Linked DNA regions of Macaca fascicularis. The protein of the gene in region 2 purifies or fractionates together with the protein of the main gene of each other region. This does not show direct contact. Links are inferred from orthologs where the notes say so. Each region holds a gene or a part of one and is shown on either strand. Other genes may lie near its edges.

What was found.
Region 1: the proteins of IRS4 (region 2) and tubulin alpha-1A chain purify together in Homo sapiens (affinity purification with mass spectrometry; 3 studies listed by BioGRID and IntAct, with this or other methods). This does not show direct contact. The link is inferred for Macaca fascicularis from reciprocal best matches to the Homo sapiens genes IRS4 and TUBA1A.

Annotation. Positions count from the first base shown.
Region 1 is NC_088385.1:56,001,570-56,006,068, forward strand, and holds the start of tubulin alpha-1A chain, read right to left. Parts: upstream 2,974-4,499; 5' UTR 2,872-2,973; coding exon 2,869-2,871; exon of another isoform or gene 2,313-2,868; coding exon of another isoform or gene 2,310-2,312; intron 660-2,309; coding exon 437-659; intron 315-436; coding exon 166-314; intron 1-165. UniProt on the Homo sapiens protein: Tubulin is the major constituent of microtubules, a cylinder consisting of laterally associated linear protofilaments composed of alpha- and beta-tubulin heterodimers.
Region 2 is NC_088395.1:115,335,181-115,339,719, forward strand, and holds the start of IRS4 (insulin receptor substrate 4), read right to left. Parts: upstream 2,924-4,539; 5' UTR 2,705-2,923; coding exon 1-2,704. UniProt on the Homo sapiens protein: Acts as an interface between multiple growth factor receptors possessing tyrosine kinase activity, such as insulin receptor, IGF1R and FGFR1, and a complex network of intracellular signaling molecules containing SH2 domains.

The DNA.
Region 1 (4,499 bases), on a different chromosome or scaffold from region 2:
ATGATACCAAATAGTTCATTTTAACTGATAAAAACCCCACAAGAACGACTCATTCCACTCTTTATTAAAATAACAGTTCAATTCTGTTTGAAAAAAAAAAAAAGCAGTATTTCAAATGTGTTCTTTAGGCTCATTAATTTACTTTATTCTTGAAAAGAAACATACCAGCTTACGAATTCGGTCCAACACAAGGTCAATGATCTCCTTGCCAATGGTGTAGTGCCCTCGGGCATAGTTATTGGCAGCATCTTCCTTGCCTGTGATGAGCTGCTCAGGGTGGAAGAGCTGGCGGTAGGTGCCAGTGCGAACTTCATCTGGAGAAGGAGGGAGAGAAGGATGGAGGGAGTGGGTGAGTGGGTGACTAGCGGAGCCCCCCAGGACAGACCTCCTGTCCCAGCATCCTGGGATCTCACTTGGGTTACTGAGGTCAACTCACCAATGACCGTGGGTTCCAAGTCTACAAACACGGCCCGGGGCACATGCTTGCCAGCGCCCGTCTCACTGAAGAAGGTGTTGAAGGAATCATCTCCTCCCCCAATGGTCTTGTCACTTGGCATCTGACCATCGGGCTGGATGCCGTGTTCCAGGCAGTAGAGCTCCCAGCAGGCATTGCCAATCTGGACACCAGCCTGGCCAACATGGATGGAGATGCACTCACGCTGTGGGAAGGAAAAGTGAAACAATTGTAAAATTAAGGCGTATTAGCATTTCAAACTCTTAGTAAACTTTTAAAAATATTTCTAATAATATACAGATATTTTTCAAAATTATTTGAGGTCACATCCCTAGCACGATACAAAGATTAAGGAAAATGACCTGCTGCAAATGCTGCATATGGGTGTGGTCTGAATAATGATGTCGCCTTGGCCCTGTTCAGCACATGGTACCAGCCCATTGTGCCTACTACCATGCTTGAATAGAAGACTTTTCATATTTAAAAAGTATTCAGTATTCAAAGCACAAATTTTGTAAAATGAAGTAAATTCAATTATGACATAATTGGGATTAATTTTACTGCTTTCTTCCCTTTTAAATAAAGAAGAAAGTTTCTTCTGAATAGGACTGACTTGATATTATAACATGGACATCTGTACTGCAGCTGAGGCAAGAAGCCACACCCTTCTGCAGTCTGTCTGCAGAATCCATCAATACAAGGGGTTTAGACAAGGTCTGCTTCTGCCTTCTGCATTGCTGCATTGCTGTATTTGCTGTGCCTGGTGCTAGCCTGTACTGTCTGCTACATTATTTAACAGAGCAAGCTCTATTTCCAGCAACTGCCTACATGATCTCATTGTGCTGTTTTGCCAGTTTTCCTCCTCTGACCCCGCCCGGGACCATGTGCCTGAATTGAAATGAATTAATGAAGATGCACTAGAACAAAAGACAACGGGATGGGGAGTATAATTCTTCTTTGTCTGTAGCAATTTCATTCCTTTTTTTAAAGAAAAAGGTTTTTCCAGATCTTCTCCACTGTAAAAGCTGAAAAATTATCCGTATCTTCACACACACACACACACACACACACACACACACACACACACACACACCTTCCTAAGTTAGAAACAAGCATCACATGAAAAGGTAGCAAACAAAGAATAAAAGCCCAGTGGAACGATAGTGAAATATTTATTTAAAACAACAAAATAGTATTTTAATCCTGAGATTCTCTACCCACCACATAATATTCATATTCTTTGCATCCAATAGAGGTTTTCTTCTCTGTGGTCTTTAGGGCTACCACTTTCATTGTCTATTCGCTGATGTGGTGGGGGCGGGGCGGAGGGGGGCGGCGGGGAAGGGCGTTTCCCTGGTCCTGACCATCAGGGTACCCTGGGGCTCACAAAGTGGGCTTTCTCCCTCGCTGAACGAGCAGCGCGCGCGCACACACACACACACACACACACACACACACGACCATCAGGGTACCCTGGGGCTCACAAAGTAGGCTTTCTCCCTCGCTGAACGAGCAGCACGCACGCACACACACACACACACACACACACACACACACACTTCAGTCGGTCAGGGCAGGGCGTCCCCAGACCAGACATTAAAGAGTTTGTCAAGTGAATTGTGATTTTGCTCAAGAGAAAAAAAAAGGTCATCTTAATTATAATAGCGAAGAAAACCCTTTTGGAGCCTACAGTTCCGCAATGATGAAAAGTTTTTTTTAAGTCAGCTCCTGACAGAGGAGGTTTAGTGAGGGCGAACCCCGCCCAGTGGCTCCAACGCCATAGAAGCCAGAAACAAACAACCCCGCCCCTGCGCCGCCCTGACACCCGCTGCCCGGGGCTCCAGTAGAAACTCACCATGTTTCCCCGGGAATGTGTGGTTATCTTTCCAAAACGCCAACGACCGCGAGGGGTCTTCCCACGCTAACCCCAGGCTGCGCTTTGTTCCCGTTCCCCCTCCCACATCCCCCAGCTCGCCCAACGCCCCCGCTCTTTTTGGGTGCCTCCTCCTCTCCCGGTCCCCAGAGAACGAGGCGAGACAGAAAGGGGCCCCTCGGCGTCTGCGAAACCGTGCGCACAGACACTGGACCCAGCCGGGACGCCCGAGACCCCTCGGTCGCGGCAGACGGGCTGCCCGCGACCCCGAAAGGCTGTAGGACAACACAGGCGCCCAGGCGCCGCCTTTGTTCCTCCCCAGCGCTCTGCAGCGCCCTGGGCGCAGTCCTGGCCGGGTTCCTGCACCCGCACTGCGGCGGCGGCGGAGCTGGAGGATTTGGGGTAAAGCTAAACCTCACAAAACACACCACCACCCTCGCCCAGAGAGCTTACGAAAGAAAAGAGCTTAAAGATTTTCCAAGCAGAGCCTGGGGGCGCTGACTCCACCCAACGGCCACAAAGAGCCAAAGCCGATTCTCACCATGGTTGCTGCTTCGCGACTGCAGAGCAGATGGCGGAGACAAGGAGGAGAAGGTTGTTGCTTCTTACAGCGCGACTCTTAGGCGGTCGATGTAAGAGAACCTGCGGCACATGGGCGGATGCGGCTCCATATATACAACTCGGTCACCATGGGGATGGGCCGGGGCCTGTTCCTGTTGGTCCAGACCCCCAATCTGCCCAGAGAAGCCAGGACAGGAGACTGGTGATTGGTGCAAACGACGTGGGATGAGGTAATCTCTCCCCCACCCCTTTTTCTCTAGCATCCGTAGACTGTTTGCATCCTTTAGACAAAGAGACCGTGCAGAAGCATTCTGCCGAGCATCCATTATGGGGTGGGGTCGGGGAGGGGCGGAAGAAGAAAGGGGACTGGGGTTGGAAGACTTTATGTTGCTTAAACCTCAAAATACAGTTAAAATTATCTATGTGAGGTTTTTTCCCCCTACCCTTAATAACAGATTTATGTTCAGATTAAATATTTAAAGGAAAATTACTGCCAGCCCCTCCCTCGCAGTATATTAAACTCGACTACATTTTGTTAGGGTTCAATATCTCTAATTGCTTTAAAAATAAAGTGGGAGAGAAAATGGGCGTAATGCTCAAAACGGTCTGGGTAATTGTGATTTTTTTTAATTTAAAAAAAAGATTTAGTCATACAGTCATTCAAAATGGTTTCTCAGGTTCAACTAACTTATTTTCAGAGCTTCTTTTGCAGGCACATGCACACTCGAATAGCTAAATAAAACTGGAAGATGGAAATAATAACCATACTAAATAAAGAAGCGAACAAATAGTTCTAACATGGCAATAATCAACAGCAAGTGCACGTAGAGTAGTTATAATAGTTTACTAGAGGTATTCCTTTATGAGAAGTCTATGTAACACATTTTGTGTGGTGCATTGTCCTTTGGAATGAATCATCTTTCCTGATATAAAATTGGGAAAATACAAGGAGAAATAATTGAGCTCAGAAGTTAGTACTACATGTGTGCAGTTACATATCTGCACTGGACTTTTGTCTGGAAAGTAACAAGCAAAATAATAGTAATAACCAAGACACCAAATTAAAAAGAAGAAGAGAATAATATAATGTAAAAAGAAGACTATTTTGCAATGTTGCCTCCATCTACAGACAACTGTGAAACATCAGCTCAATAACTGCATTTCCTTTTTATGCAGTTCTTATGTCAATTTGGTAAATATCCTCCTGCGAGTGGGCTTCTGACTGTGGGAATTTTAGCCAGCCTCACACCCTTGCTATTCAACTAGAGACTCTGGTGGTTGCTCAGTTGCCCCTTGGGACAAAAAGGCTTTGCTTTCACCCCTAGGAAATAAATTGGAGTAACATTGTCTTGCTATTTAGAAAGGCTCCATTCTCAGCAACGATGGGCTATGCAGAGTGAGTCACTGGATTTCGTACCACTGGATGTTGGTGATGAAATTTCAGAGGTAAGTAAGTTTGGCCACTAAAGTTGGAAATTTATTTTTTACAAATAATTTTTCCTTTTGGTTTTCAGCGGCAGATTTTCAGGGTGGGCAGCAACTACTCACACAGCACTCTGCGGAGCCCATTCATTCCTGCCAGGCTGGCAGGCTGAGCAGGGCGTGGGAGGG
Region 2 (4,539 bases):
GCTTTTGTGGTTTTGGCTTGATTTTATATCCTTTTGTAATAAAAGAAAGTCGGTTAGGTCTCTTAGCCTTATTCTTTAGGGACCCATCATCCCAAGGCTTTGAAGGTGATCCCCCATCTCCAGGCTTTGAGAATGATCCCTCACCTGAAGGCTTTGAAGCTGCATCTTTGGGGCCCCAGTTATAGGAGACTTCTTTGTCTAGGCCCCTCCCCAGGAACTTTCCAGGTAACATTGGCACATACTCACTGTTGTCACTCTGTCCCAAAGGTGAGCTCTGAAAAGGGTTTGGTAGAGAGAAGTAGGAGCTCCAACTTTTGGAGGAAGAGCCACCCTGAGGATTTCTGGGGTTTTTTGGAATTGCACCGGCTCCGGGAGCCATAAACATGTAGTCACTCTCACTGTCATTGTCCTTTGAGTCATCCTCTTTATTAGTATCAGGTGCTTTTGGAGGACTGGGAGCAGGTGGTGGGCTCACTCTGGGAAACATCATCATGTACCCTCCTGAATCTTCAAAAGGGGATCGAGAGTGGCGCTTTTTTGAAGCAGAGACATTTTGAGGAGCCATTGGCATATAATCACTGGAGCTTACAAGAGGGGCAGCCACCCCTGGCCTCATTGGCACGTATGGGTCATCCTCATCTTCATCAAAAGCTCTGGCTCTGTGGGGACCTCGAGCTGCACCTTCTGGGATCTCTGCATCTTTCACTTCTTTGGCTTCTTTGCGCTCTTTTGTGGCTCCTCTGTCAGCACAAAAATAAAGTCGGAATCTTCCCCCAGACTTCCCTTTTCCACCAGTTGCTCCAGCTGGTGGGGGCGGAGGAGGAGGTGGTGGAGGTGGTGGCATGTGCTGTTGCTTGCTTTGAGTTAATTTGCCAAAATAGGATCTTTTCTTCAGAGATTTTCCACGTTCACCATCAGCATCGGATCCTTTCCCACTTCCTGAGCCTTTGCCCCCTCCAGAGTTCTTGCCACCACCTGAGCCATGCCCACCTCCAGGTCTCTGGCCACCACCTGAACCTTGCCCACCTGCGGTGCTGTGGCCATCTCCAGAGCACTGGTTTCCTCCTGAGCCCTGGCCATTTGAGCCCTGGCCACCACTTGAGCCCTGACCACTTCGGGATCCCTGTCCCTCGCCTGAACACTGGTTTCCTCCCGAGCTATGGCTACTGGAGCCTTGGCCACTTGAGCCCTGGCCACCTCCTGAGCCCCGGCCATTTCCTGAGCCCCAATTGTTCATGGGCATGTAGTCGCCTCCGCTTCCTTCCTGATCTTCTTTGCCCTGGGGATTGCCTTCCTCCCCAGAGTTGCCAGAGCCAGAGCCAGACACTTCAGAAGACAGGCAAGCTCCATTGTTCGGGGCTTCTGCAGGGTGCGGGGGACGTGCTGGGCTGGGTGCTAAGCGGTGAAAAAAGCTGGCCGGCACTGAACTCGCTCTCCTTGACCTGCGCCCTCTGGGCAGGTGCAGTCTTCCTCGCCTGGAGTGGGGCACAGGCTCGCTGGGTGTTAGGAAACGCCTGGTGAAAAGCATCTCGTCTTCCCCGTCGCCGATGGCCCTGAGGTGGCAACACTGCTCAAAGCGGGACCTTCTGAGCCAGCCTCCCGGCTCGAGCGGCAGCAAGCCCAGGTGCCTCCTAGCGGACAGCAGGGTTAACAGGTGGGCGCCGATGCTGATGCTGTAGCTGCGGCAGCGGGCTCTGTATTCGTCTGCACACAAGGCTCTCATCTTCTCCAAAAACAGCTCATGCATGTTTTGGGCAACCACACAGTCATCGACCTGCATCCAGAGCTCTCCCGGACCGATGACGGTGGACCTGCCTACTTCCAAGAAGAAATACTGCTCCGAGTGTCCACAGCGACGGATGCTCAGGAGCTGGACGACCACGCTGGCCACTTCGGTGTTCAGTCTCACAAACACAACCTCCTCGTCGGTTAGACACAGCCGGAACACGCCGCTCAGCTCTTTTCTGTGCCCCAGCCCCCTGGGTTTGACTATTACCTGCCACACATCTTTATAGAAGGGTGGCTCCGCTGCCGCTGCCGCCGCCAGCGCGGCCGGCTCTCCGTCCGGCTGCGCGCGGAGCGTGCCGCAGCGGCGGCGCTTGCTCTCGAGGATGAGGCGGCTGAGCAGCAAGTACCAGCTTTCCTGCTCCGACTCGTTCTCGGCCACCATCGCGAAGTACTCGTCCTGGGTGAAAAGGGCAATGAGGTGTCGGTACCTTGCATCTGCTCTCTGGCTCACGGAAAAGCACTGGTATAGGATGATCACGCGTCGCGGTGGAATGAGCCGGGGGATCGCGGCGCCAGAGGCGGCCGCCGCTGCTGCAGCCGCCGCGGCGCGGACACTGTGCCGGAACTTCCTGGCATTTTCGTAGTATTCCAGGCGAGCTGGGGCGTCAGCAGTCTCGAGTTTGAGCACGAAGTAGCGCCTGTGCCCATGCTTCTGTTTCCGCAGGTAGCCGCGTTTGCAGACTTCCTCCCCGACGGGGAGGTCCTCCTCGTCGGACTCGGAGTCTGACCGGGAGCCAGTGGCCGTGGAGAGCCACATGGCTCCCGGACAAGACGACCCGGTCCCAATGAGTGCGGTCGGGGTTCCCGAGGAAAGAAGCGGGGTGGTCACCACTGCTGCTAGAGCTGCCGCTGCTGCCGCTGCTGCACCTCTTAGTCTTCTTGTCGCTTGGTCGCGAGTGAAGGAGCAACTCGCCATGGTGATGCACGATGGTTTTAAGGTGAGCGAGGAGGAGGGGGAATTCAGGAAAGGGAGGGTTGAGGGAAGAGGCTGTCTACCCCCGTTTGCCCGCCCCAGCCCCCTCCTGCCTTGGCCCGCGCCCCCGCCCACTCCACTCTAAGCGCACGACAGCGGGCAAAACAACACGTGACCGAAGCCTCACGCGGCGGCCGCTGCGGATCCTGCTACCGGCGCAATGGAGGGGCGCGAGCGGCCACCAGTAGAGGTGTGCAAGGGAGGAGGCGGCGGGCTTGGGAGGCGGAGCCACCTCCAGCTGTGCCAACACCCTCCCGGTGAATCTCCAGGCCTGTGGGCCAAGAGAGGACTAAGAGGAGGAGGCGGGGCTCTCTGGCCAAGCAGATTCTACCCGGGAGTCGAGGAAGGCATGAGCGGGCGGGAGAAGGCCTGGAGGGGCAGAGGAGAAAGCGGCCGGCTATCAGGGCTGGGAGAGGGCGCCACAGTCGGGGCCCCATTGGTGGGAGGTGGTGGGGGGGGCGCGGAGCGCAAGCAGTGCCGGCGGCGCCGGGGTGCAGAGCCCGCACAGTCGCCGGACGGTTTGTTTGTTTATTTGGGAAGCGGGAGCCAGGTGAAACTGTTGCAAGGCTCTGATTGGCTGGAATAGGAGCCAATGGGAGGGTCCGGCAAGAAGGCAGTCCCGAATTCATTAGTTTGGCGGGAGGGAGGGGTGAGAGGGGAGAGGGGGCGTGGCTGGGGTCCCAAAGTGGCTTCGCTGTCGGCTTGTGGCGCTCTCAGGCGGTAAACAACCTTACGCAAATAGCTGTTAATGGTGGTGGTAAACTCGTGCAAATCCCAGAGCCATGGTGACCCGGGACGGAGTCGGGTGCCCTGGTATTCCCTGTCAATCACATACATTCTCTGTTCCTGTCACAGTCTGGTTTATTCTTTCCAGTCGCTCACGGCGGCTGGTCGAGCTTCTTGGGAAAAAGTGTCGGCACCCCTTGAAAGCGGGTTGATGACCCGGGCGCTCAGACCCGCTTCCCACCGCGCTGCAGGCACTTCCGAGCCCGCTCCACCCCTGACGAAGCCCGCGACTCTAAGGCACACGAATAACCACGATGAATTCAAAATGAACATGATCTTTATTAATCAGAATGCACTTCTAGCCCACGAAACACAGGTTCCCTAAATACAGTGTTTCTGCCTATTTGATTAACGATGACTACGAAAGCACAAATTTGGGGGCCTGCAATGTATACAGCCATATTGGAAAAGATTGGACTCGATTCTTACTGAAATAACCAGTGTTGGGCTGTGAGGTATTTTTCTGTGGGAAATGCTTTGGAAGGTGCCTTTAAAAGAATCTCAAAATATTGCTTTCCTTTCCTTGAGCGAGACCGAAAAACTTTAGAAAAAGAAAAGCTCATACCTAGAACAAAGGACCACGCTGAATGCATATTCTAGAGCGCATTTCACATCCCTCGCGTCAACAAGAAGAAGGTGAGGAGCTTTGATGCATTTCAGTCTACAAGTTGACATCACAAAAGTAAGAGCTGCTGCCTCCCTAATTTCTGGAAAAACTGCCAGAGTGTAAGTGCAACCTCCTGAAGTCTCTCTCTCTCTCTCTCTCTCCCCCTTTCTCTCTCTCTCTCTCTCTCCCCCCCCGCCCCCCTCTCTCCCTCACCACCCCAGTTATTTCTTGACTAGAATTTTAGACTCCTCTCCCTCTCTCCCCCACCACCCCAGTTATTCCTTGACTAGGATTTCAGACTCTTAATGGTGGAGATGGGTCGTGAATTATCAAAGGAGTGACCACGTTTGCAAAGAGGAATGGAGGGACAGGAGGAAATAACAGC